4 linked regions of the Tamandua tetradactyla genome follow. The protein of the gene in region 3 interacts with the protein of the main gene of each other region in a pairwise test. Links are inferred from orthologs where the notes say so. Each region holds a gene or a part of one and is shown on either strand. Other genes may lie near its edges.

Evidence for each region.
Region 1: the proteins of CEP70 (region 3) and ZNF227 interact in binary tests that used the Homo sapiens proteins (3 or more experiments, as listed by UniProt). The two-hybrid records come from large-scale screens. The link is inferred for Tamandua tetradactyla from reciprocal best matches to the Homo sapiens genes CEP70 and ZNF227.
Region 2: the proteins of CEP70 (region 3) and PSMA1 interact in binary tests that used the Homo sapiens proteins (3 or more experiments, as listed by UniProt). The two-hybrid records come from large-scale screens. The link is inferred for Tamandua tetradactyla from reciprocal best matches to the Homo sapiens genes CEP70 and PSMA1.
Region 4: the proteins of CEP70 (region 3) and TAF1D interact in binary tests that used the Homo sapiens proteins (3 or more experiments, as listed by UniProt). The link is inferred for Tamandua tetradactyla from reciprocal best matches to the Homo sapiens genes CEP70 and TAF1D.

Annotation. Positions count from the first base shown.
Region 1 is NC_135342.1:20,216,969-20,224,527, forward strand, and holds the start of ZNF227 (zinc finger protein 227), read right to left. Parts: upstream 3,012-7,559; 5' UTR 2,896-3,011; intron 1-2,895. UniProt on the Homo sapiens protein: May be involved in transcriptional regulation.
Region 2 is NC_135334.1:89,910,906-89,918,876, forward strand, and holds the start of PSMA1 (proteasome subunit alpha type-1), read right to left. Parts: upstream 3,003-7,971; 5' UTR 2,875-3,002; coding exon 2,872-2,874; intron 1,489-2,871; coding exon 1,444-1,488; intron 1,179-1,443; coding exon 1,077-1,178; intron 959-1,076; coding exon 855-958; intron 1-854. UniProt on the Homo sapiens protein: Component of the 20S core proteasome complex involved in the proteolytic degradation of most intracellular proteins. This complex plays numerous essential roles within the cell by associating with different regulatory particles.
Region 3 is NC_135341.1:82,637,423-82,644,332, forward strand, and holds the start of CEP70 (centrosomal protein of 70 kDa), read right to left. Parts: upstream 3,016-6,910; 5' UTR 2,935-3,015; intron 1,021-2,934; exon of another isoform or gene 911-1,020; intron 1-910.
Region 4 is NC_135334.1:49,333,390-49,340,445, reverse strand, and holds the start of TAF1D (TATA box-binding protein-associated factor RNA polymerase I subunit D), read right to left. Parts: upstream 3,020-7,056; 5' UTR 2,920-3,019; exon of another isoform or gene 2,838-2,919; intron 1,462-2,837; exon of another isoform or gene 1,440-1,461; 5' UTR 1,422-1,439; coding exon 1,372-1,421; intron 775-1,371; coding exon 399-774; intron 1-398. UniProt on the Homo sapiens protein: Component of the transcription factor SL1/TIF-IB complex, which is involved in the assembly of the PIC (preinitiation complex) during RNA polymerase I-dependent transcription.

The sequences.
Region 1 (7,559 bases), on a different chromosome or scaffold from region 3:
TCAAAGGCAGAATAATCCCTATTAATACTGTATGTTTGAATCTGTAATTAGATCATTTCCTGGAGATGTAACCTAATCAAGAGTGATAAGCTGGATTAGGGGAGATGTTTCTCTACCCATTTGAGTGGGTCTTGATTGGTTTACTGGAATCCTATAAAAGAGGAAACATTTTGGAGAATGGGAGATCTCTGAGAGAGCAGAGAACGACATACCCACGAGAAGCGGAATCTACCAGCCAGAGAACTTTGGAGATGCAGAAGGAAAACACCTCCTGGGGAGCTTCATGAAACAGGAAGCCAGGAGAGAAAGCTAGCAGATGACACCATGTCCACCATGTGCCCTTCCAGCTGAGAGAGAAACCCTGGCTATGTTTGCCATGTGCCTTCTCACTTGAGAGAGAAATCCTGAATGTCATCGGCCTTCTTGAACCAAGGTATCTTTCTCTGGATGCCTTTGATTGGACATTTCTATACACTTATTTTAATTGGGACATTTTCTCAGCCTTAGAACTGTAAACTAGCAACTTATTAAATTCCCCTTTAAAAAAGCCATTCCATCATCTCTGGTATATTGCATTCCAGCAGCTAGCAAACTAGAACAGTGGGTAAGTTGAAGAATATGATCAAGATGAGAAAATTAATGAAATAGAAAACAAACAAAATAGAGTGGATTAAATCAAATCCAAAAGATTATTCTAAAACAATTAGACTAAAATAATAAAATTGATAAAATCATGTGAGCATGATCAAGAAAAAAGACCAAAATGATGTATTACCAATTTCAGGAAAAAAGGAACATCATTAAAACTTTAAGAGAACATTATGATGAGCATTATTTAAAAATTGAAAATATAGGGGGAAATGGATATAAATTCATAGAAAAAATTCAACTTAAAACTACAGTGAACTTACACATAATATTTAGTGATGGAATATTGAAAATTTTACATCTGAGAATGGAGAGAATGCTGAATATCACTGTGGTAGTTAGATTCAGTTGTCAACTTTGCCAGGTGAAGGCACCTAGTTCTATTGCTGGTGGACATGAGCCAATGGTATGTGAACCTCATCTATTGCTGATCAGATCTGCAGTCAGCTAGGAGGTGTGCCTCCTAAAATAAATGATGTTTGACTTAATCGGCTGGTGCTTAAATGAGAGAACACAACGTAGCACAGCCCAAACAGCTCAGCATACCTCATCTCAGTACTTGCAGCTCAACCCAGGCCTTTGGAGAGGCAGAAAGAAATCACCCCGGAGAAAGTTGTTGGAATCCAGAGGCCTGGAGAGAAGGCCAGCAAAGATCACCCTGTGTCTTCCCACATAAGAAAGAACCTCAGTTGAAAGTTAGCTGCCTTTCCTCTGAAGAACTAATAAATAAATCCCCTTTTATTAAAAGCCAATCTGTCTCTTGTGTGTTGCATGCCAGCAGCTAGCAAACTAGAACAATCAGCAATTCTAACTAAATTGTTCTGGAACTTGTTCTTATCCATCAACTGGATAAAAACATTTAGTAATGTTAGGGGATCATGTATCCATTCTACTAACGTATCTGTAAACTCTTTTAGATTTTCTAAATACACAGTCATGTCATCTGTAAATAATGAGTTTTATTTCTTCTTTTTCAATCTTTGCATCTTTTATTTATTCTTCTTTCCTTTGTGATTGGCCAAGATTTGTTTTTACTTTTAGCCCATCGTCACTTTTATTCCACTACAATTGAAATGAAATTCTGGATTAAATGTAATAAAATATGAAAAAATGAATATATTATTTATTTATTTGCCCTATGGAATAGTCCCACTCCCACCGCTACCTCATAGGCAAATCATTTTAATTAGTTGGATGTGTTTCTTTTTGTGTGTGTTCTTGTGCAAACTGTGTGTGGTGTGGTTTTCTTTGCACATATTCTTTTTATAAATTTTGTCGTAAAATGAAATTGTTTCTAGTTTCCTCATTCAGAAGAATGTTTTTAAGATCCATGTTTCTAGTCTATTATTAAATTCTATTTTTATAGAATGCATTTTCTTCATCCACAAAATTTGTCTATCTTCTCTCTCATGACAGATACCCAGATTACCAATAACATAGCAAGGAACATCTTTATACATCTCCATGTACCTTATGAGAATTTTATTAGTACACATGTCCTGGAGTGCAGCTGTTGGTTCATAAATCACATATTCATATACTTACACTTACAAATAATAGCCAGATTGCCCTCCCACATTACCATAAGCACTGCATGAAGTTTTTTATATAACCATTTCCACACTATCATTTGGCATGATCAATCATCCTAAATTTTACCATATGATTAAGTGTATAGTGGCATCTCACTGTTGAACTAAATCTTTCTAAATTTTAATAAATTTGAGCATTTCCTCAAATATTTGGTAGTCTCTTTAGTAAACTAGCAATGTTTCTCCATCTTTCTACCTTTCTCCATTTTCTTATTGTGGATACTATCTTTTTCTTGTATATTTGCATTAGGTATTCTAATTATTTATATCTTGTAAGTTTGTTTCAAATATCTTCTATTTGGCATGTAATTTATAATAGCTTTATTAAGATAAAATTCACATACCATACAATTTATCCATTTAAAGGGTACAATTAAGTTAACGTTAGCATATTCAGAGTTTTGCAACCTTCACTACAATGAAGTCTAAAACATTTTCATCACTGCAAAAGAAATACATTCCCGTTGACACTCACTCTCAATTTTCCTCCAAACTCCTCTGTTCTAGGCTACTACTAATCTACTTTCTGTAGATTTCTGAAGAGCATTCTTTCATATGGATATACCCGATTTTATTTATCCATTCATCAGTAATTGGACATTTCCAGTGTTTCCATTTGGGGGCCATTATGTATAACACTGCTATGAGCATTTACCTGCAATTCTTAGTGTGGGCGTATGATTTAATTTCTCTTCATTAGATATCTAGGAATGAAAAGCAAGGTCATGTGGTAACTCTATATTTAACCTTTTGGGAACTGCCAGACTATTTTATAAAGCATCTTCACCATTTTCCATTCCCACCAATAGTATATATGGGTTCCAATTTCTCCACTACATTGCCAATGCTTGTTAATATGTCTTTTAAATTATATCCAATTTGGTGGCTGTGATTATATATTTAAAATTATATCCAATGAATGGTACAATAATTTGGGTTTGATTTGCATTTCCCTGATGAGCAATGATCCTCTCTTTTTTTTTTTTTACACGGGCAGGCACCAGGAATCGAACCCGGGTCCTCTGGCATCGCAGGCAAGCATTCCTGCCTGCTGAGCCACCATGGCCTGCCCTTGAGCCTCTCTTACAGTGATTATTGGCTATTTGTATATCTTTTTTTTATTTCAAAAAATATTTTTATTGAGATATCTTCACAAACATACAGCCCATCAAAAGTATACAATCAATGGCTCAGGATATGATCACATACTTGTATATTCATCACCATAATAATTTCTTAGAACATTTGCATCACTCCAGAAAAAGAAATAAAAAGAAAAAAGAAAAAACTCATACATACCATACCCCTTACCCCTCCTTCTCATTGACCACTAGTATTTCCATCTACCCAACATATATATATATATATATATATATATATATATATATATATATATATATATATATATTTTTTTTTTTTGCATGGGCAGGCACCAGGAAGTGAACCCAGGTCTCCAGCATGACAGAACTACTGAACTCTGCCTGCTGAGCCACCGTGGCCCTACCCATATATTTTAATCTTTGTTTCCCCTATTTTTTTCTATACCTCTTACCACTCCCTTTCATTGATCACTAGTATTTCAATCTACTCAATTTATTTTAACATTTGTTCCTCCTATTATTTATTTTTTTAAAACCTGCTATAGAGTTTTTTTTTACAATTCATGAAAGATTTATTAAACAGTACTATTAAATATTGTCCACAGTTTACATTATGTGTATTTTTCCTATAAACCACTTTATTGTTAACACCTTGTCTTGGTGTTGTACATTTGTTATAATTTATGAAAGAACATTCTTATATGTGTACTATTAACTACATAACCCATCATCTATAGTAGGTTCACCATGTTATACAGTCCTATGTTTTATCTTTGTTTTTATTCTAGTGACATATTCAACCTAAGTTTCCCGTTTTAACTACATTCATCTAAATAATTCAGTGCTGTTAATTATGCTCGCAATTATATGTTACTATCACCACCATCCATTTCCAAACCTTTACAATCAATCTGAATACAAATTCTGTACAAATTAAGCATTTTCTCCCAATTCTCTACTACCAATCAGCCCCCTGGTAACCATATCCTAGATTCTAGTTCTATGAATTTGCTTATTATAATTAGTTCATAAGAGTAATATCATACAATATTTGTCCATTGTGTCTGGCTTATTTCACTCAGCATAATGCCCTCAAGGGTTCATCCATGTTGTCACATGCATCAGGACTTCATTCTTTTTATAGCTGAATAATATTGCATTGTATGTACATACATTTTATTTATCCATTCATCACCTGATGGACACTTGGGTTGTTTCCATCTTTTGGCAATTATGAATAATGCTGCTATGAAATTCGGTATGTAAATATCTGTTCAAGTCCTTGCTTTCAGTTCTTCGGGTATATACCTAGTGGCAGGATTGCTGGGCCATATAGTAATTTTTAAAAAATTTTTATTAATTTATAAAAATTACAAGAAACACAAACATTCCCAACACATACACTCAGCAATTCATAATATCATCACGTAGTTGCATATTCATCATCATGATCATTTCTCAGAACATTAGCATCAATTCAGAAAAAGAAATAAAAAGACAACAGAAAAATACAACAAACAGAAAAAAAAATTTACATGCCATACCCCTTACTGATCCCTTTCATTGATCACTAGCATTTCAAACTAAATTCATTTTAACATTTTCCACCTATTATTTATTTTTATTCCATGTGTTCCTCTCATCTGTTGACAAGGTAGATAACAGGAGCATCAGACACAAGGTTTTCAGAATCACACAGTCACATTGTGAAAGCTATATCATTATACAATCATCAGCAAGAAACATGGCTACTGGAACACAGCTCTACATTTTCAGGCAGTTCCCTCCGGCCTCTCCATTACATCTTGGATAACAAGGTGATATCTACTTAATGCATAAGAATAACCTCCAGGATAACCTCTCGACTCTGTTTGGAATCTCTCAGCCATTGACACTTTGCCTCATTTCACTCTTCCCCCTTTTGGTCGAGAAGGTTTTCTCAATCCCTTGATGCTGAATCTCAGCTCATTCTGGGATTTCTGTCCCACACTATCAGGAAGATCCACACCCCTGGTAGTCATGTCCCACGTAGACAGGGGGAGGGTGGTGAGTCTGCTTGCTGTGTTGGCTGGAGAGAGAGGCCACATCTGAGCAACAAAAGAGGTTCTCTTGGGGGTGACTCTTAGGTTTAATTTTAAGTAGGCTTGACCTATCCCCTGTGGGGTTGTTTCATATGAACAAACCCCAAGACTGGGGACTCAGCCTATAGCTTTGGTTGTCCACACTGCTTGTGAGAATATCAAGAATTCAACTTGGGGGAGTTGAGTTTTCCCCCGTTCTCACCATTCCCCGAAGGGGACTTTGCAAATACTTTTCCACTCATTGATCAAATCACTCTGGGATTCATCAGGGCATCACCTGGACAAACCAACAAAATCTCATGTCCTATACAAAGTTCCATGTACTTAAGGTGTTCAATCAATATCTACATAAGTTATATTAGGAGGTGCACTAGTCAAAGTGTAGATTTGTACCAAATAAACATTTTTTGCTTTAGTCTCACACCTTAGTTGAAATTTTAAAATATTAAGTACCATAGTACTTTCTTCTACTATTTTGCCTTCTGGATTTTATATGTCATATCTAATTTTCCTTCTTTTTACCTTTACTCATAGTCTTCCTTTCTACACTCTTCTCCACACCTCTCTCTTCTGTCTTCGTATTTGTCTCTAGTGTTCCCTTTAGTATTTCTTGCAGAGATGGTCTCTTGGTCACAAATTCTCTCAGTGATTTTTTGTCTGAAAATGTTTTAATTTCTCCCTCATTTTTGAAGGACAATTTTGCTGGATATAGAATTCTTGGTTGGCAGTTTTTCTCTTTTAATAATTTAAATATATTATCCCACTGTCTTCTCACCTCCATGGTTTCTGCTGAGAGATCTGCTCGTAGTCTGATTGGGCTTCCCTTGTATGTGACGGATTGCTTTTCTCTTGCTGCTTTCAAGATCCTCTCTTCTCTTTGACCTCTGACATTCTGATTATTTAATGTCTTGGAGTATGTCTATTTGGATCTATTCTCTTTGGGGTATGCTGCATTTCCTGGATCTGTAATTTTAAGTCTTTCATAAGAGTTGGGAAATTTTCAGTGATAATTTCCTCCATTAGTTTTTCTCCTCCTTTTCCCTTCTCTTCTCCTTCTGGGACACCCACAACACGTATATTCATGAGCTTCATATTGTCTTTCAATTCCCTGAGCCCCTGCTCATATTTTCCCATTTTTTCCCCTATAGTCTCTGTTTCTTGTCAGATTTCAGATGTTCCATCCTCCAGTTCAGAAATCCTATGTTCTGTCTCTCGAAATCTACCATTATAGGTTTCCATTGTTTTTTTCATCTCTTCTACTGTGTCTTTCATTCCCATAAGTTCTGTGATTTGTTTTTTCAGATTTTCAGTTTCTCTTTTTGTTCCTTCCTTGCCTTCTTTATATCTTCCCTCAATTCATTGATTTGGTTTTTGATGAGGTTTTCCATGCCTGTTTGTATATTCTGAATTAATTGTTTCAGCTCCTGTATGTCATTTGAATTGTTGGTTTGTTCCTTTGACTGGGCCATATCTTCAATTTTCCTAGTGTGATTTGTTATTTTTTGCTGGCGTATAGGCATTTAATTACCTTAATTAGTTTATTCTGGAGATTGCTTTCACTTCTTTTACCTAGGGTTTTCTTGCTGGATAATTTGTTGTCCATCTGTTCTTTGACATTCAGTTCAGCTTTTTCTGGACCTTCAGCTTAGGTTTTGTTTAACAGGAGAATTTTTCAGTTCTTTTCTTATTTCTTGTTTCTTGCCCTGCTTGTATGGTGCCTTCACCCCCCCACCGCCACCCCAGCCACACTTAGGAGGGTCTACTTCGATATTATAAACCCAGCCAGATTTTCCCAGACCAAACTGGCCTCCTATCAGGAGGAAAGAGTCACCTGCATCGGTTTTCCCTGAGGGTGAGACCCAGTAGTTTGAAGGACTTTCCTGTGAAGTCTCTGGAAGAGTCTCTGCTTTTCTTATCCTGCCCAGTATGTGATGCTTGTCTGACTGCAGGTCCCACCAGCATAAGATGATGCAGTACCTTTAACTTTGGCAGACTCTCCCTGCTGGGGGTGTGGTGGAGACAGAGAAGAGGTTATAGGCTGGTTTTAATGGCTTCAAATTACCAAGCCGTGGTGTCTGAATTCCTTGATGGAGGGATTCCACCTGGGTGGGGCTTCACCCCTCCCCTGGGGAAGGCAC
Region 2 (7,971 bases), on a different chromosome or scaffold from region 3:
AGATGACTTAGAGCAAGGGTCTGGCTGGATAACTTGAAAATTTTAAACATCAGCATTACTATTTTGCCTTTAAATTACTTTCTTAATTAATCATGGACATGAGTTTAGTTTAGCTAAATCTCACCACCACCCCCAACATACACATGTTCACATACTACTTGAAAGGCACTATGTTAAGTGCTCTACAAGTTAGGCTGTTTAAAAATAATCTTGAGAAAGAAAATACTGAGTAAAAAGCTACATGATTTACAGAGACTCCAGCTCTTCATTTATATATTGCTTCTCAATTAGAAAAAAAATCTCTAGCTCCTATGGACTCTAGTGGAAATTTATCTGTTACTTTTACAAAACTCACCACTTTGCACATTGTATCATAGACATTATACTTATTATGTAGAGTTAAGTTAGATTTTAAGCTTCTTGAGAACAAGATCCTTGTTTGATTATTAAGTTTTGCAAATAATAAAAGTCTAATAAAAATTGATATATGGAAGAAACCAAGGGTGGTTCAGTTCATTCTTGGAAACTAGAGAAAAATTTCAAGCTTGTCTTAAACATAGCATTATTAAAATATTAAAATTAATATACACTGATTTAACAAGCATTACTTCATTCAATGACTTCTCAAAAGCATATTATTAATATGGCTAATTCTATTAGTTACTACTACAGGGATGGAGAAACTGAATACTTAGTAAATCAGCCCAAGCACTAAGGCATTTACAATCTTTATACACCTTTTAGCAAACAACTTCCTACAACACTTTATTTGGATCTTTTCTAGAAACAGAGAATAATCAATTATAAATCTAAAGGGAGTGTTTCTTTTTTTTTTTTTAAATAACCATACTCACCATAGCAGTCTAGCATCAGCAGTAAGCCCCGCAATTGAGATACCAATATGGTTGTCAACATGGAGAATTTTTTTTTGATGGGCTGCAAGCTCTGATTGTGCCCTCTAAATAAAAACATTATAAGACATAAAGACAAGTTTACAACTTTACCGTGTATACAGTGGACTTTACATTTCGTAGCTATGTTTTTCAAAGGAGAAGACAGATTTGCTGTTTACTTACCTTCAATGCAACCAACACTGCATGGGTTTTTGATTTCAGACCAACTGTAGCTGACCCTTGCTTGACAGCTTCCATTGCATATTCAATTTGATGAATCCTGCCCTAAAGAGTGGAAAAAAAAACCTCACATCTCAGAAGACACATTTATAAAGTAAAACCTAATTTAGAGCTCTCAAAACTCAGGCAAGCATAGTTAAACCTCAAATAATTTTTTTAAAACCAGGAAATTTAATGATAAATAAAAGTTCCAGGATGTCTGAAATGATTATATTCCATTTTCTTACAGTATCCAATCTTATGAATCTCTAAACATATTGCAGCCACCAAAAGTCACGTCATAGAAATGGTATAAAATCTATTATTCTACCTGAGGGCTCCAAACAGTGACATCATTGTCATACTGGTTGCGAAACTGAAAGTGAAGGAAAAAAAGAGCTATTAATATAAGAACATTACAAATCTCAATTCTTAAAATGTGCTATCATTAAGAAATAAATGTTCTTGAATCCTCTGCATTCAACATTAACCCAAGTCTATTAACGTAACCTTATATAAGATCACTACTGTGTTCAGTTGCAAGACAATCCCACAAACATTTATGAGGAGGAGGTGGGTTGGGGATGGGGAAAGAAGAGGAGTGTAGGCAGAGCTGGACAGAACTTACTTTCCCAAATTCCTATTGTACCACTCTCCACAGCATATATTTTTAGGTTGAATACCAAAGTTCATAACTGTCAACTTTCCTTTATGTTTTTGCTTATGCATTCATTTACCCTGGGCTCTAATAAATCCCCCCAACCCCTACTTCTTCCTTAAATCAGCTCAAATATTTTAATCTTGAATTCTCCGTCTCTCCAAAAATCTCAGCACACGCTCCCATAGTTCTTTATATACACTTCCTTTCTTTTTTCTATTATGAATAGGGGCATGTCCGACTTCTCTTTGAACTCCCACTACATGTAAAACAGTGTTTGTATGTGTAAACACATAAATATTAATCAACAAACACAAAAATGTCCTCAGGAAGTTAGAGGTGGACACAAGTAATTACAGCAACAGAACCATTACTATTATAATGATGGTATTAAAACAAGTCTAGAAGCATAGTACTGGAGAGAACAATCACTGGGATGAAAGGATTGAGTGCTGCCGGAAAGGCAAACACACAACTGGAAGCCCAGAGCCCTATCATGTAACCCTCATTCTAGCACTCCGGCTCTCACTCTTGGTTTCCCATCTCTAAAACTAGTTTACTGGACAAAGTGATTGAAAAGGGCCTTTTCTGATTAAGCCCTAGGGATGAGAATAATTATAAATCATAGGGATATGATAAATCATTCATTCATCATTAATGATCATTTCCTGGTCCACAAGGAAAATCGGCGCCGTTCAGGAACCCAAACTCTGAGTCAAGTTCTCACTGGGGGTACTGGGGGGCCTCCAAGACCCTATTTTCTCCTCATCTCTCCCACACAGAACACGAGAAGCCATACTGGACCGTTCGGGATTTACTTCACTGAAAGACGCTGAAGGGAAGACTGGGCTAGCTGATAGAGTAAGGAACTGTCCCAGACCACTGGGAAGCGAAATAAGTCCCGGGGAAAAGGCCGCAGCGGACCGACTCTCGACCGGCCTGGCCGGAGATGCTGAATCACTGCCCGGGCCCTCGCGTCGGCTCAGGCTCCCATGCCCCATGGCCCCGGTCCGCTCTGAAGATGACAGGAAAGACGGTTCGACATCTCCCAAGCCACCGGACCTCAAACCCAATCCTGCTAGAGCTGGAGACTAAACGCACCATCGTTCCTGCGCGGGACCGGCTGCGGCCTCCTGAAAAGCTCCCGATCGAGGCGCGACGCCGAAACTACCGCTCGGCGGTCGACAGAGAAGTCTGCGAGAATTTGACCGCGGCAACGCAGGGCAGGGCAGTCTATTCCAGAGGCATCGATAGACCTTCACCACATCCGGGACTTCAAAGCTGTCAGGTCTCTCAGGGATGGGCGGGACTTAAATTGATCAAGGAACTGAGATTGGCCGGAAACCTGGCCAATAGTGCCTCCGGCGCCTAAGAGCAGCCGGGCAGACGCTTACCACGTTGACTTTCTCCGATCCGCCTGAAGTTATCTGTGCTGTAACCGTTTGCGTGTGTCAGCCATAGCCTTTCTCGAGTGTACATGCTTAACCCTCTATGTTGAAATACTCTTCCCAAAGATGGATAGTCATCTTTGAAGGCTGTTGTCATTTATCACTCTTTATTATAATTGTTTCCCCCACCAGACTGACATTCCGTGAGGGTGCTCTTGTATTTCTTTTTCATGTAATTCTCTGCCCTCAAAATCAAGCACCATGCCTGGTAGAACAGGCTGCTGAAAAAAACATATTTTTCTCCACATTTACAAATTTTCTCTTTTGAAAGCATCTTTTGATAAATCCTTAAGTGAATAGCTCCGCAGACAACCGCCAACCTAATATCTGCCCACTGCTAATAGTGACTTATTTTCTTTATACAGAATAAAGGCTAATACCTAGACTCAGGAAAGGTAAGAGGTGAAAGAGACCTTAAGTCCAATCTGAACTTTGCAGATGAAGTCACAGATTCAGATCACTTAACGATGACTCTTAGGTTCCCAGCAATTTAGTGTGGGAACCTTGGTCCAGTGCTCTTTCTTCTCTAAAAGGTCTGTCGTTTTTTAAACGGAGGGTCTTTTCATTTAGCTGCTTTCAAATGTCCCTTTTTCTTTTTTTTTTTAAGTTTACCTTTTTCTTTTTTTTTAAGCTTACCTGCTGTTAAGGATTTCAGTATACTTCTAAATGACTTTTTTCTTATTTCAAACATGAAACATGATCATTGTAGAGAATTTAAAGGAAAATGAAAACAGCTGACTCAGAGATAATTACTATGAATATCTTGTTGAAGTTGTTTCAGATTTTGCTTTTAATTCTTTTGTACATGTATTTATTATCTTTTACCAGCTTGTGACAAAAAGGAACATAGTTTTAAAACTTTTTCCACTTATTTATTGTGAATCTTTTTCCATGTTAAACATTTTCCATGGTAAACATAATTACCTAATATTATGCATTATAAACATATGATATTTTATTTACTCAAATCCTTATTGTTGACTAGTGTCAACCACACCCAGCGACTGCAGTTTAGCAAAATGGAATACAGCTGGCTCATCAAGAAGGCGCAGGCAGGACCATGGAGAAAGAATTCACATATGGAGATTATCAGAACACTACAGAATGGCTTCTATTCCACAGAAAGCACTGGCCTTAAGTGGCTGAGATCTGTGGTTCTGTGTTAGGAGGTCTGGTTCATAAAGTAACTCAGGCCCAGAACTTTGACTACACTGAGATACACAACTTCTCTCAAAATAGAGTACCAATTCCTGTTGGACAATGGGTATTTGGGTTCCTGAATGACTAATCCTGTGTGGTGATGCAGGACAGATTCCACTTTCATGAAGGTTGCCTGCTCTGGAAAGTAACATTCCGAGTGTGGGTTTTCTGACTTATGGGTGAGAATCCCTAGTAATCACCAATGCAACTGGAGGGCTCAACTCTTAAGTTCGAGGTTGAAGATATCATGCTGATCTGTGACCATATCAACATGTCTGTTTTCTCTGGCCAAAACCCTTTCAGAGCCCCCAATGATGAAAGGTCTGGCCATCATTTTCCTGCATTGTCTGATGCTTATGATCGCAATCTGAGTCAGAAGGCTAACTGTGCTTGGAAACAAATGGGGTGGGGGAGCAGCGAGAGCTACAGGAAGGCCCCTTTGTGATGGTAGGGGGCCCCAACTTTGAGACCATTGCAGAGTCTCATCTGCTGCAGACACTGGGACCTGATGTACCAGAAGTTATAGTTGCATGGCACTATGGACTTTGAATTTTTGGCTTCTCTTTCACCATGAACACGGTCATCATGAATTATGAAAGCTTAGAGAAGGATAATCATGAGGAAGTACTGGAATCGAGAAACAAGCTGTGCAGAAATTGGAAAAGTTTGTCCCCATTTATAGCTGGAATTCCGTCCTCTGGCATTGCCATTTGACCAGCCTTGGAGCAATGTGGTATCTAAGTAGCTGCTATCTTGTTGGGGTCACCTTCCTCCCCCCTTAAGGAGTAGCAGGAAAGAGGAGGATCCCTATCCTCCTGGTGAGCTTCTCTCATCAGACCGTTTTGGTGCCAGTTCCTGTTTTGTTCATTTATCTTCTCCAAGGAATTTCCATTCTTGTTGATCCCCCAGAGCTGGAGCCTGTACCCTCCCACATGTCTGTGGATATTCCCATGATTTGACTTCGGCCTTCAAACTTGACATTGTGATTGCTACTAACTTTAAAATGATGCTTTTACATTTCTGGGGACTCAGTTCTGCCATCCCCTTAGCATTGGCGACCACACAAGGACCAAACCCAAACCTCTCAAACTTTAATGTCATTTTTTTTTTAATGAAAAGAAAGATGTATGATAAAAAAATCTCTATTGTTGAATATTAAGGTTTTTTTATCCCCCACCTCCCAGGCATCTCATCTATAAGCTGTTTTATACGTATATAAATATATTTATATAAATATGTGTATTATCAGCATTCATACTCTTTTCTTTAGAATAAATTCCTAAACATGAAATCACAGAATAAAATGAAATGCACATTTTAAAGGCTTTTTATAAATAGAGCCAAATTGCCCTCAAGGAATATTTTATTAATTCATATTCTCAACAGTAGTGGATGAGATTGCCATCGTTTTTCTTTTTCCCTGCGTGGACTGGAAATTGAACGTGGTCTCCCAGCATGCCAGGCAAGCATTCTATCTCTGAACCCAACCATGCATCCTGAGGTTCGTTATAAAATCACCAACACTGACTGCTCATTTTACAATTGCCATTCAGTACAGAAACATTTTTGCAATTCTTTTCCATATGTATATACATGCCTCACACACACATATATAATAAATATACTTTTTTTTTTTACAAATAAGATCACTCTAAATTGTTTTATACTAATACATTTTAAAAGTTTGGGCCATCTTTTAATTTCGTTAAGTAATTATATTATTTTTAATAGATGCATAGTATTCACTGTGTGGAAACATAATAATAGCTTATTGGTGAGTAATTAGGTTATTTACAAAATTTGCTACTCTAAAAAAAGCTATAATGACTCTTCTTGTACATTTGCTTATTTTGTTTACTTTCCGGATTATCTCCTTATGATGAATTTATAGGCATAGAATTGCAGGTCAAAGGTAACCTACATTTACAATTATGGTAAATGTGGCTAAATGGAAGAATATACATTTATTTTCTACAGTGCTTCAAAGTCTACTTTCTTTATATCCTTATCAACATTTGGTATTGGATTTTTGCCTATATCAAATTGATGGGGGTGGCACCCTCTTCTTTTAATTTTCTTTTTTTTTGCTTACTAGTAAAAAATCCTTTCATAATTCTTGGCTATTTGTATTACTTGAGTGAATTGCCACTTCATTTTTCTTCTCAAGTTTTTATTGACGTTGTGCTGATTTGAAAGTATTATGTGCCCCAGCAAAGGGAGGCAAGGTTTCTTTTAATCCTGATTCAAAAGTGCAGGGTGGAAACTTCTGATTAGATTATCTCCAGGGAGATCTGACATGCTAATTGTGGGTGGTGATCTGACCCCACCCATTCCAGGTGGATCTTGATTAGTTTACTGGAGTCCTTTAAAAGAGGAAACATTTTGGAGAGAGCTTAGAGCAGAGCTGATGCAGACGCTTGGAGGGCAGTTGTTTCAGAGCTGACAGAGCTGATGTGAGACCTGGACATTTGGAGATGGGGGGCTGGCAGACGTGTGGCCCGGTGGACATGAAGCCTAGTGACATGGAGCTCGGGGGGCAGCATCACATGCCTTCCCATGAAATGCTGAGCAGGCCAGAACCCAGAGTTGTGTCCTGGAGGAGCTAAGTGAAAGCCCACAGATAATGGATCAGGAACCCCCTCAGGAAACAGAGATTGAAAGCACCAGAGTCCAGGAGCAGGGAACCAGCAGATACCAGCTACCTGCCTTCCCAGCTGACAGAGGTATTCCAGACCCATTGGCCTTCATTGAATTAAGGTTTCTTTCCCTGGATGCCTTAGTTTGGACATTTTCTCTGCACTAGAATGTAAACTTGTAGCTTATTAAATTCTTGTTTTTGGAAGACATTAGCATATTGCATTCTGTCAACTTAACAAACTAACACAGATGTGTTAATGATTTTCCTCATTGATTTGTTTGTACTTTCTGCCATTAGGTTACTGTGTTACTTTTATAGAAGGAGACTGTTGTATACAAAGAAAAAAAAAAAGAAACTGAAGCTGGCCTAAGTAAAGTTGGGGGAAGGGTAAAATTGTAAACATATAATAGGGAATTACATAAACATCCAAAGATAGGGATTTTTACTGTTTTTTACTGGCTAAGGTCTTCCTAATGCCTGGAACAAAGCGTGTCATATAGTACACACTCAATAAATACTTGTTTAATGAATAAATAAATCTCTGATTCTAAAACCTGTCCTTTTGATTATTTCCTAAGCACATATCTGGGGCTTTGTGATACTACCTTCATTCATAGTGATTGGCTGAGTCTTCAGAGTGTCTTTTATGAAAGCTCTACTTGTAGATAACTGGAGGGTATTTGGTTGATCTTTTTGTCAAAGCTGAAGGTCCTAGTTACTTAACTAAAGTTTTATATGGCTTTCAATTCCTCTATGCATATTTTAGGGATTTGGCTCAGGATACATCTTGATCCTTAACTAGGAGCTGAAAAATTGATCAATAAAGATATTTTGTAGGAAACTGAGCCAGCAAAAATAGCTCTAATTCGTTCATTGAAAGGCCATAGGTAACTCATGTCAAGCTTTTCTAGAATC
Region 3 (6,910 bases):
GTATTTTTTTGGTATCTTTAATGTTTCTCAGAATAAAATAAAGACGATTTAAAAAAATAGTTTTGTTCAATTGGAACATGAGTCTGAATTGTCCTCCTTACAAATCCCACTTTCAAGATAACAGATCAAAATCTGGTCTCTCCTGGTGTTGTCCAGGTTTTCGTGTCTGAAGCTCCACATTGAGGCCTGGCTGTGCTGCTGCTTTACTTTCTGTTTGTGTAGACTGAGCAGGGACTCCCTGTACTCAGGACGATGTCTGAGCAGCAGCAGCCCGGCCAGCAGCAGGAGACCACAGTTTCTGGCGCTGGTTCTGACACGCGACCCTCTGAGGCTGGCCCAGCAGCCAGAATATCTGGGTCCTGGGTTGGTTTCTAAAGCACTGATCCTCCTCCTTTAACACATGCCCAGTAGTTATGCTGGACCAGGACTGGAAGGGCCCATGGAAAAATTTATAGGTAAAGATGTATGCAACTTTTCTTTTTGGGGGGGTATCCATTAATGCTGAGAAGTTAGTTCAGAAAATCTGTCACTGCATTAACCATTTCTTTTACAAAAGGAGGCCCAGTGAAAACAAGGGCAACTGTGAGTGAAAGTGTTTTTTCAGCTGCCCTCTTAAATTAGCGGTGTCCTAAGGGCAAGCTGGGGGGGCACCATGTATGAGGTTCGAGTAGCATCTTCCTGGGGAACAAAAAAGCACAATCAGAGAGTAAGAATAAAGTCAAATGCAGGATTAGCCTAAATGAATAAATTTCTTATTCAAGTTCAAAACTTTCACAGTGGTTTTGTTCAGGCTTTCTTTCCATTACAGTTGTGACAGGTAGCCAGTGACTGTTCCTAATTCAGATGTCCTCAGCCCAGAGAATGAGTAGGGGAAAACTCAGCCAAAAGTGGTATGTTCCTCCAATTCCAGGTATCCCAGAAACCAAACCCAAAGAGGAAACAGTGGCACAAAACAAACCCGCTGAGGACTCACAGCCTGCCTTTCTGACTGTTGGTGCAGACTCAGGTGCACCTACACAGGTAAGCTGAACTCTCCTGCACTCCACAGACTAGTATTTTTCTTCCAGTGCAATAAATACTTAACTAATAACAGGCCCTGTAAACCTGAACTTTTCAAATCCCATAGGCCTGGTCCTGAAACTTGTGAAGGGCTTTGGGGGTGCTCTGTAAAATGGGGGTAAACATATTAGAGGGCTGTTGTGAAAATTAGAAACAATGATATACAAGGCACATATATCAAGCGCTTAATGCACCTATAGGTCTTATAAAAGACACCCAGATTCATGGGGTGCATGGGTGGTTCAGCTGTAAAATGCTTGCCTTCCAGGTGGGAGACCCTGGTTCAAATCCCGGACCATACGGTCCCACCCCCATCCCAAAAAAAGATACCCAGATTCCTCAGGTTTTATAAGAAAATATGACCCTTCATTAAACAATATCTGAGCTGGTCAGTGACCAGGGTTTCCTAGTCTTAGCCCAACGACTCAGGGTTGTTTCTCAGAAGAGTTAATGATTAGGAAAAGAGAAATTAGAAATATGTCTTCGGCAGCCTTGATCCATCTCTGGAAATTTCCACTCTGTGATCTTTTTATCTTTCCCCCCAATTCATTCTTTAAACAATCATTTCTTGAAAATTCTCTATTCAAAGAGAAAATACAAATATGAAAAGTTTTAGTCCTCAGTCATTAATACAGGGTAGCAAAGGAGAAATCAGCGCTGGCCAAGTAGAATCCCTATAAAAATTTGCTTAAGAATTTAGTCATTACTTTGCAAACTGGCTAATCGAACCAATTGGTGGATCCCTCCTGTCACTCAACTCCCCCTTCTCTCACCTATTTGCTTGGCACCTATATAAACCACATCCACCATGACAGTCCCAAAGGTGAAACAATCCTCTCCATTAACCTCAGGCTGTGAGAACTTACAATGGGGCCCTGCGACCACAAGCCCCCCAGATGGCTGGACCTTCAGAATCCCTTCATGCATGTCCAGTCGCATGCTGGACCCACTCTCCACAGGGCCCACTCCAAATCTCCACTGCTCCTTTCTGGTGGCCCACTCAACAACTCTCCTCACCCTCTACAAGTGACACTGTCTCCTTATTAAAATGAAAATCAGGGCCACCTAAAACCTCACCCAGGCCTGCTGTTCATTCATGCAGCAAGTATTTAGCAGAGCCTACCATGACCCTCCCCTGTGCAGGTGGGGGCAACCACGTGTGAGAGCCAAGCAGCCATGCTCTCTATCCTCATCGACGCCACTGTCTATCATTAAGTCACACATTAAGCAGAAATTACACAAACAGGTATACCCTGAAAGGGACTAGGAAGAATTCCAAGTACTGCAAGTTTTAGGGGCTGGGATAGATTTTCTTAAGAAATTACATCTTTAGAGGAATCGCAACAAAATGGAAGTTAAGCGGGGAAAGAGACGGGGAGGAGCGTCCCGGCAGAGTGAAGAGCAGCTGCGGAGACCCTGGGGTGACAAGGATGGAGCAGCTTTTGAGGATCTTTAGAAGCCACGTGGGCATGAGCTAGCTCGCACAAGTCCACCTTAAGTAGTTTCGGCTTTTAAACTGAAGAAACAACAGGGGTCCATAAAAAGGTTTTAAGGAGCGAATTCCATCCAGGATCGGGTTTCCCTGCCTTAAAGGGAAACCTGACAGCCCTGGCGGGTCTGTTTTGCCCCAGAGGCAGCCCAGGGTCCCGCTCAGGCCTGGCACACGGCTGGCTCCTGCACTACCTGTTGGCAGGCCGACTGGATTCGCTGCGGACCCGGGCCCTGTTTGGGTTGGGGACTGGAGAAGGGCCTGTGCCGGGAGGGCGAAGCCGGGGGTGGGGGCGCGGGCGGTCGCGCGGGGCGGAGGGGGCGGTCTGCGCTGCGCGTCCCGGGGGACCTGGAGCGCGACAAACGGTCGGCGCCTTTGGGACTCACCGTCCGCCGAGCTTTCGGCCTGGGCGCGCGCTGCGTCTAGTGCTCGGCGAGGGAGGAGGCCGCGCGGCCCAAGCGGCGCTGTCGGACCCACCGCGGTGCTCGGCGCAGCCCACGGCGTCAGGTGAGCCGGGCGGGGAGCGGGCCCCAGACCCGGGCGGGTCCGCTGCGGCGGCGGCCAGGGCCCGGCGGCGGGCGGGTATCCCGGAGCAGCAGGCGTCGTCCACGCGGGGGCCGGCGAGCCCCTGCCGGAGAGGCGCGGGCCGCGTGGAGTGTCCGGGCGCCCTGGGTCAGCCCCGCCGAGGCCCCGGGCGCCCCCGGCTGCCCGCTCCCTGGGGGCGGAGGCGCGGCGAGGCCGGCCCTGCCCGAGTGGCCCTGCCCGGGGCCGGCCCAGCCTCTGGCCTCTTAGCTCAGACTTTGATGCTTGTCGCCGTGAAAGAGTGGAGCGGACAGCTCAGGGGACAAGCTCCGCGGCGGAACTCCTGCTTCCCCGCGGCGACGCGGTAGACCTTAAGGGGCTTTTCCTTGCAGCGCGTTTTCCCCGTCAGCTGAGCAGTTTGTTCTTGCAGAACCTGGGTGGCTTCTCTCACCGCTGCATGGCGCACGGCCACCCTGGTGTGACTGCTCTCCGCACCCTTTCACGGGGGTGCTGCTGGGCGCTCGTGGGGGCCAGCTGGACGCCGCGGCCCGCCCGGGGCCGTCGGGTTTGTGGAGGGACTGGCCCGCGGCCTCCCTAATGGAGTCGCTGAGGGTGAACGAACAGGTGTTTTTCCATTTTCAGCTATTAAAAAAAAGGAAAAGAAAAGCAGTTCGTTGAGCACTGTTCCCTGCTTTTTGTTTAATTTATAGCATGATTATTTATTTAGAATGACTCCGTCATAAATCTTAAGGCGTACATTGCAAAATGGCCCTAAGAAAAAAATATTCCCGGATCTGCACATCTGGTAGCATTTGGGAATACCTGGTCCAAGGAGCTTGCGGCCGGCTTGGTTGGAGGGCCTTAGTTTTCTCAGAATGAAAAATCACTGAGCATCCCCTCGTGACTAACTGGCCTTACCCGGAGCTGTTCCTGAAAAGGGAACTGAACATTTTTATCAGTGACTTTTTTTTTTAACTGCCTTAGGTTTATCTTGGACAAACCACTGCAGCCCCAGTACAGTTAAACCTAAGTCAAGGTAAAATTCAGGGTAGGGTGGATAAGCAGTGGAAACGGCTCAGTGGTTGAAATGCTGCTCCAAAACAGGGGTATTGGGTTATGCAGGAAAGGGATTTTTTAAAATTATGCAGATGGGTAAGTAGACATTGAAAAAGCTTTCTTTGAAGACATATGAAAAGTTTCAAGTAACATCTTCCCCATCAGTGAAAGCAATTTGTTTTTCCATCCTCTTCATATATGTTTTTAAATCTGTTTCCTAAAATAGAGGGGGAAATTGTGGTTTATAATTTTCCTATTTGGTCACATACCTGAAAATTAAGCATATGAATACGAGCTAAAAAATGATAGTGGATTAATCCATTTCCCCTAGTTTTAAACCAAAGCCTACCCTGGCTGTCCTGCAGGTTTGGCTGGAATAGAACCTTCTGTAGGCTCCTTCTTGTGATCCTCCGTTGGTTTCCCAGAGCCTGCGTCTGTTTCCTCTGAGCTCCGTGCCTAGGACATAAATGTCCAATAACTATCACTATGCTGGATGAATTTAAAATATGACCTGTGCTTTTAAATCGGATTTGTAACTCACAACTCTTTGTGCAACTTTTAATAGGTATTTCTCAATATTCATATGACTATAGTAGAAATCAAGGACAAGGAGAGTTGTGATCATCCCTTCCCTATAGGTATAATAATCACATTCAGCAAACTTCAGGGCAGGGCATCTGGTCCTTGTGGTGACTGAAAACTAATTGAAGCGAATACATTCGTTAGGGACAGAGGCTTATTTTCAAATCACTGACAGCACCTAGTATAGTGTTTTTTAATAGTGGGCTCAAATAAATGTTTGTTGACTGGGAAAAACTGAATACTGGATATTTACTGTAAGGAAACTGGTTGTGAAAGTACACCTCCCTTGAGTAAATAGGCAGAGCATAGCTGCTCCTTCAAATCATACAAAACCGTTTTTTAAAGGGTGTGGTTGGTTGGCTTTGCAGTGCTTTCAGGACACTAAGTAGGCATTTAGTAACTATTTTTGAATGAGTGGATTATATTTTGCTCAGGTAGATAGTTATTCATGTATTGATTCATGCAGGCCATCCAGAGAAGTTGCCAGTTATAGAGGATTTAAGGTACCTTTTTTTCTGAAGACACTCTCAAAAATGAAAACTCAGTAGATGGCTCAAAGTATTTTAAAATCTAAGTAAATATTGATCTCTGTGCTTTAGTGCCTGTTGAGGTTTTGGAATAATTATTCATATTCATATTATTCACATTTACTTTGTTTCAGACCTTTAGCCTAAATCTCAATTTTATCTCAAGTTTCACTAAAAGACTCACCGCATTCTTTTATATGCATTTGATGCTGACCAATGATTTTTAATTTTCCCCCTCATTTGAGTAGCCAAAAAACACATCAGTCTTTTAATCATTTACCTTTATGGCTATTAAGAATGTGTTGTACATGGGCTCCCCTACTTATGATCCAGTGGAGCAATTCCAAGTAAATTTAAAAGTGCTCAGTATTTTAGAGGATATATATACAGTTTGAAATGAAATATGTGAAGTGACAGAGGTCACAAAACCAGCAAAACTTCTGCAATAAGAGAGAAGACCAAAAGCAAAAGGCAGAGTTCATTTTGTACATTTTCCCCATACAATTAATGAAATTTATTGGTAGGGGATATTCGGATATTCTTTATGGTGAGATTATGTGGACATTTTTTTTGCTCCATACACATTATTGGGACCTCAACAGCCTTGTTAGGGAGCTGGATAAATAGTAAAAGCTAGGTCTCTGTGGTTGGGGGTGACATTTGGAGGGATGTCTTATTACTTTGATTTTCCCATAATGAGGGAGCGGGCTGGGAGTAGATGATCTCATAGAGTTTTTTTTTTTTTTTCTTGTAAAGCTGAAAATTGTGTAACTAATATTTTGATTGTGGCTGTTGTAAAATAGTGCTCACTTTAATCCTTGTATAGAAATCACTTTTTTTCAGCCAATCTCTGCCCTTGAAATGGTACAAAATTTGGAGCATTGCTGCCTTTTAGTGATTTTTTTTTTTTGCATGGGCTGGTACCGGGAATCAAACCCAGGTCTCCGGCATGGCAGGCGAGAACCCTGCCACTGAGCCACCACTGCTTGCCCATGACTGCTGCCTTTTATAAGCCAAATATGCTATTAAGGTTCTCAGGAATAATTATGAAAATATTTTAGTCTTTTTCTTAAAATAGCAGATAACATGAACAAGAAAAATTGAAATATTACTGGCTACATTAAAGCAACCTTTTCTTATTTAAATGGGTCTATAGAAAAACAAGCAAGGAGAGTAACATAATTGTGTAATTTTCCTGTGAATGTGTGTGTAAGAAGAACATTGCTTTTGATATATACAGTATTCTAAGCAGCGTTGGATTCCACCAACCTTTCCTCTGACCATTGCATGTAGTTCTCACCTATAGTGTCCACTAGCAATTATTGGAAAATGAAAAATTACTATCTTTTAGATAAATAACTTCAATATGTTGATAGTTTAGGGAAAACTTTTTTTAAAAATGTGTTCTTGATTTCTAATCTTACTTCCAATTTGATTGCATGTTATCTTTTATACATCTATATGAAAAGTTATTATAATTAGGATGGTACCATGCCATATCTTAGTGTGATTTAGTAATATTTGAAGTGTCTTATAGTGGAAAGCTGGGCAATTCTTTTAGGTTTGTATGCCGCATCACTGAACTTTCTAGTGTCTTTGAAAGTTGTAGAGGAAAACTTGAATGATATCTCCAAGCCTACTTTGATTTACAAAGGATGCCTTATCAAAATTTACA
Region 4 (7,056 bases), on a different chromosome or scaffold from region 3:
TGAGAAATACTAATGCTATTCATTCTTAGAAATAAATCGCATTCTAGCAAGGAAGACAATTATACATTCACTCAATCAATATTTTAATCTGATAGGTATCAGGTGGGTGCCAGCCAATTCTGTCATCCAGCCTCTAAAAAAAATTTACTAAAAGCCAGGAACATTAAGCTATGTGTGGTTTAGAATTTCATTGCTTCAAAAATGAGTAGTAATATGAGCTTTAAGGATGTATTTAAAGAACTCAGGAACTGCGCATCACTCTGGAGAGTTTGCTAGAATGATTCAGCATAGATAACTGTAAGATAAGGGAAGCTAAAAAACAAAAAAAAAGATAAGGGAAGCTTCCAGAGTCAACAAATAATTTCCTGTATTTCCATTGATATAAGAGAATGACTCACCTCAAAGGTTAGAATTTTCTTCCAAGGTAATGGGTTTCTTCCATTCTCTGATTGTAAAAACGAGAACCAGGGTCCTCTGTCTTTCAATTCTTTTTTGCCTATTTGTGAACTTCTGGTGTTTCTTCTTCCTTTTGGTCTTCCCTTAGGTCTTCCTGTTGGCTTATATTTCCTCCTTTTACGTTTCCTTTTCTTGAATCTTTCAAAAATAGCTTTTAAAGTTCGTGGTATCGGTTCCCAAGAGGAATCGCTTGATGAATCTCTATTTTGAACATTTTCTTGAAAATAAAATTTCCTAACAGGGTTTCCTTGCCTCTGCTTAGGTAATGAAGGAATACACTGAGTTTTAAATAAACTGCTACCAGACGATGAGCTATCACTAGAAAAAGGGAGAAAAAATTACATTCTCACTGACTGCTTACTACTAATAATTTCAAATAGGTATCCTTCCAAAGACTAAAGTAGGGAACATGTTCACAGTAAGGTTTTTTTTCTCATGGGCAGGCACCAGGAATTGAACACGGGTCTCTGGCGTGGCAGCTGAGAATTCTAGCACTGAACCACCATCACACCACCCCACAATAAGTTTTTAAAAAATAAATGGAAGCGGTAGGAATTAGCAGAATGCTAGCCAGTGAATCCTATTCGCCCTACCTAAAACGTCCCAAAACACTTAAACTGCTTATTATCCTCCATTTGAAATATAAACTCCATTAAGGCTTCGAAAAATATTTGGCAGTCTATTAGAAATGCCATTTCAATGGCAATTCTGTGAAGTACCCTGAAATTATCTTGTATGTATAGTTATGCCAGCATCCTTTCTTTGTGGAATATTTTCAAGCGACACTCCACCCTGATATCTATTTGCTTGATATAAAACATGGAGTCAAGGTGTTAAGAAGGTATTTTACTATATAAACTTACGAATCTATTGCTGAAAACTTTCTAGTAACTGTCAACTGTTTTTTACACTTACCTTTGATCTTCAGTTTCTACAGCAGCTGTTTTGTAGTCGAGAGAATCCATCACTGATACAGCAAATATCTAAATGGAGAGTATTAAGTTCTCAAGTTACATCAACTGTGAATTAGGAAAAAAAGTCACTTGATTTACCAAGCATAAGCTTATTTAGAAGCTATCCATTTCAAATCAAATTCTAAAATTCAGAAACTGCATTCACAAGCTCCATTCTCCTGGTTGTGCTTTTTCAAATCTATGCAATGGTACAAGATCCATTCCATCCAGAAAGTAATGTCATTTCCAACAGAAGTACCGTTAGCTTTCCAACTACCAATAAATGCTGTACTTTTACCAGGAACTATACAGTAACATACAAATACCAATACAGTACCATATAACTACTGGTCATTTTCCAAGATCAGAAAAATTCACTTTCATATACAAAAGTAGACGATTAGTATACCTGAGGACCCAGTATACCATGAAAACAGATATCAACATTTACCATCCGAATCCAATGGAACATCTTAAACCCTTGTCTGGGATTTCATCTACGGTCTCTTCAAATTAACATTAACTCATCTAAGCAACCGTGAAACCTTTTCCTTTGCAATGACTAGGATGATATTCATCTTTTTAAAATTTCCCTTTAACATTGTACAACGTAAAAAACAGACGTAAAGACCCATCTTCACTACTGCATCACCGTTATAAGCGACGCCTTTTTTTCCAGTTATGCAGTTTTTTACTCTCTAGCATTCTTGGGAAACGCCAAGAGTATCGATAAGTTCGAGGATACTAAAAGGAGCAAAATGTTTCAAATATATGTGCTCATAGCCTCTAGGGTAATTTAAAAATGTTTATTACACTTTTTAAAAGAACGTAAAACTCTGAGATCGTTAATAAATCATAGGGTATCAACTGCTCAAAACATAAAAGTCTGCCCCGACGGCACACCTGGGATTAAATTTAAAAGATTATCAAAATGAAGTGCGTGCACTCAAAAATAATTCGCAGAAACTGGAAACATTCCAGCTAGGTACCATTGTTGGATTATGTTATAATCCCGTTGTTGGACTATGCGATTTGTAAGAGCAAGACAGAGCACTAAACAGGATCAAACGTAATACTTCTTCACTTACTATCTGCGACCCTGGGAGAGGTCTCTTAGGGAACTCCTAACCTCGTGGAAGGAAAATGGCGCCAAGAATCGTTACCTCGCACTTATTCCTATTAAATCACAAAGTACTTGTCTAGAATACATCCTAATAATTACATCCCCGATACAACGCAATACACGCCAACACGCATTTATTTATAGGGCCGCCGAGCTAGGCCCGGGGGAACCTTGCACCCTCTGGGCCTAACTTGCGAAGCTCGCTCCACCCCAATCAACGCTATGATCCAGGGAGAAATAGACTAGCCACCCTCCTCGACCGCCAGCCCGGAACAGCCATGTTCTCTTCTCTACTTTTTCAGCTTGGCAACCGGGCCTCGGGGACAGAAGTCGCCGACTGACTTGATTATTCTCCCGCCCTAGCACTCTACTAAACAACAACGTTACCTCTCGCAACAGGAACGGAGAAAGGGAGAACGCTAGCTTGCGACCTAGCTAATAGTTGGGCCGAAATCTCGCGAGTACAACTTAACACCAGGGAAAAAAGGGAGAGGTGGGAGGAGATAAGGACACCCAGCGCCAATTGGATCGCAGGGAAAGGAGGAGGGATTTAAAAGTAGGCGGAGCCGGAGTTTACTTACGTGAAGGGGAAGGAGTTTCCTGAGGGAACATAAAGCTTTACTCAGCTGGTTGAGATCGGTAAGTGTAATAGTCAAGAACATCTCGGCGAATGACGGAAATTATGTGATCAAGGGAGCAAAATGTATGTTAATTGCGAGGAAAAAGCCTCTGAGCTCAATTTGTTTTCGGTGGTGTCGCATTTCCTGAGTTGTCGTCTATCTTCCTAAAACCGGGTGCTGGATTGATATGTGTGTGTCTGTCTTTCGTGTGTGGGAATTCTAGGTTAGCAGATGAACTTGGGTTTGCGTTCAGTGTGAAGCATCCCTTTTTGGCAATTTTAGTCGTACAGATTGTGTTCTGTGTTAAAATATTGGAAAAGGATCGTGCTTTGACCGTGGTTCAAAACAAGTAACCTTTGTACTAACTACACCCGCTTCCCCTCTCTCCAAGAGGGAGGGAGGAAAAAAGCGCTAAACCATTGGACTTGGATTCCTTGTTTTTGTAACTCTTAAGCTGAGGGTGCCTCCCAGTAGTTGGGTGACATGCAAGAGATACTAGCTGTGGGTTTTATTATTTTTTCTGAGTCCCCCACCCCCGTAGTTCCCTGAAGGGTGTTTAAGATAAAAGTCAATTAAAAAAGGATGAGCTAGGAAAAAAAAATTGTGAGCCAGGTTGCGTTTTCCACTTTCTGGCATTTTGTATCACATGATAAACCAGTGAGGCTATCTAGTCGTGGTTTTTAGTCAGTCATCTCAGGATTGGAAGAGACCTTGAAGATAATTTGGTCGGTACCAAATTTTGCTCCAACTATTAACTCCAGGGATTAAAAAATCTGATCCTGTAGGCAGCACCAGAGAGTCAGTAGAATAATGAAATCTTCAGGACAGGTATCGTTTCTTACCATCATATACAGGAGCAGGCCAGGCTATATAGTTTGTGAGGCCAATGCAAAATGAAAATGCAGGATCTCTTGTTCAAAAAGCAGGGGGAAGAGTGCCATTATAGGTGCTAAAATTTAAGTGTTTAACTTCTTCTGTACTTTGTTTCTTTACTTGTCATGGTAGGTTTTATTTGTATTTAATGCCAAACTAAGTAAAAATTTAAAATGTAAATTATTAACATGAATTTTATCATTCATGCTTATATTGTTCAATGCCAGTTCCACGTACAAATATAAAAACATTTAACTCATGCAGAATCACTGAAATTGCATAATTAGTATTTTGTAGTTCATATAAGTTATATGTTTTTAGTTCTTATAAGAACAATGGAAACACTGCACGAAACTAACTCAACTATTTTTACTTAACTACTTGAAATGTGAATAGTATATCAAAACTCTGGAAGCTAGTAAATTTAAGTCTTAAACTCCCTCCCTTGTGGATCCACCAGAATTATGTGCTAATGGAGCATAACAAATCTATATGCAAATGAGGTGCCATGGAATGGTGATGGCCAGGCATATTGCACCTTTCTCCTCTATTTCTGTGCATACTTTGTTGTCTCATGATACTTCATTTTTAACACAGAAGTTTCAAGACAGTGACAATAGAACATTAAGCCAAGTGCCCTTCTGAGTGACTTAGTGTCTGCACCAATTGCACTCCATTCTTGGAGCTGTCCCTGTCTGGGAGTTCCATGGGTCTGCTACATCATAGATGTCCAATAAATGATGCTAAACTAGTGCCCATCAGGCGGACCATGGTGGCTCAGCAGGCAAGAATGCTTGCCTGCTATGCCATAGGACCTGGGTTCGATTCCCAGTGCCTGCCCATGTAAAGAAAAAATAAAAAAAGAAAAACTAGTGCCCATTTGCTATTTGGAATATTGATATGAAAGACATAGTCCTTTCTTCAAAGAGATCATAGACTAGGGGGAAGAGACAGAAAGCAAGTAGATGATCATATTTTGATCTGAGTGCTGTAGAATCACTCTATACAAATTCTTCCTTATTTTGAACTGAAATGTGTCCATATCGTATTCCTTTACTGTCAGCATAGTATAGTATGATGAATTCTGGTTTACCGTGAGTTAGATCTAGTTTTGAATTCTATTCCTGCCTTTTATCTGCCAAAGTGTGAGAGGTTTTGAGAGAATGTCTGTGAAGTGTGCATTTCATCATTGTTAATCAGCTTGGTTGGTTTAGTTGGTATGCCCCATTGAGGTGTTCTCTCTGCACCGCCACTTACTTAGCTGCCTTCTATTTCAACTCCTTCCTTCTCCAGGCCCTCTTTCTGGGACATTAATTCCCAATAGAATCAAATCCGGAGAATATTTGTCAATAGCTAGCCCAGGACTGTGCTCCTGGAGTCTTTTCTGAGTTTATCTTTATTTTAGAACCTTTCTAATTCCCTCTCTCTTATCACTCCATCACACATACACATATGCACACAACCACACTGCCTTCTCTGCTAACTTTACCTGCTAGAAGTTCTACATTTTTTTTTTTTTTTTTTTTTTTTTTTTAAAGGAAAGACAGAGAGAAGGAAGGAAGGATAGAAGGAAGGAAGAAAGGGAAACATCTTTAAACATTTTCTTGTTTTATTGTATTCTGTTTCTCCGTTTTTGTTACATGGGCTGGGGCCGGGAATCGAACCGAGGTCCTCCGGCATAGCAGGCAAGCACTTTGCCCGCTGAGCCACCGCGGCCCGCCCAAGTTCTACATTTTTAATCTGCAAAAAGAAAGAAAACAAAATAGAATTACTATGACTAAGAGATTTAAAATGGAGTCAGGAGGTTATTCTGGCAGTTACTTTTCAGCAAATCTCAGCCAGGTATTAAAAACTGTCAAATTGTGCAATGGTTCATGCAACAGTGTTCCTCAAAACCCTAAAAACACCATAAACAAATCACAAGATAATGAACTCAGTTAACTATCAAACCTAAAGGACATTTGGAGGGTCCCTAATACCCACCAGACACAAACAACTTGTGTGATCTTTTTCTATAAACCCTTGCCTGGAAGACCCAAGACACAATTTGGGTTGCAACCTGAATCTGTTCTTCCCTAATTGCAATTCTAAGACCCTAAATAAAGGCCTGTGTTGCCTTGCAGCGCAGGTTGTGATTTCTCCACAGGTAAAACTAATCATTGAGGCTGTAGTCTTGTGGAGTGGACTTCGTGTCCGTTTTGGTAACAAAAAACCCAACCCTTTTGAAGAGATGGTGAAGGGCATGCAGTTAGAATTAGATTTTAATTTTAACTTGAGTCTTCATGCCTGCTGCAAGCAGAAATATCTGAAGTGCTTTCATTATCCTTTTAAATGAATATAATATGTAAGATAATTATCAAACCCAGCTGTAATCATTGTGCAGGTTTTGACATGTTCGTAGTTAATGATAGTACTTGCCTGGTTGCCTGATAGAGGAAATGTGATAAAATGTTAACCTGTAGAAAATCAGGGTAAGAATATGTAGGAATTTTTTGTATGTGTTTCTACCAATCCAATTTCACAGTAAAAAGTTAAAATGCCCCATTCCTAAATGATTGTAGATTATTCAGTTCAAAAATATGTTTAAGGTATTGATTAAGAATATGTAAAGACTTGGGGCCCATTATCTAGAATTAATATTTTGTTTGGGATATCAGATTGTGCATATTAAATTATTAATGGACAATGAAAGCTGGTGTTTGACACAGTATTAAAGTAAATGTCAAGTCCCAAATGGATGCTTATTTGTAGGGAATGTATTGTCTAAAATAATCATCGAAACTAGTGTTCCAGCCCAACAAAAACCCAGACCAAAGTACATGCCAAGAAGAAAGTTACCTGTGAGTTTTAATTAGCAACTTAAGAATGGGAGAAGAACTGTTTGCAGACGATATGATACTATACGTCGAAAACCCGGAAAAATCCACAACAAAACTACTAGAGCTAATAAATGAGTACAGCAAAGTAGCAGGTTACAAGATCAACATTCAAAAATCTGTAGCATTTCTATACACTAGTAAGGAACAAGCTG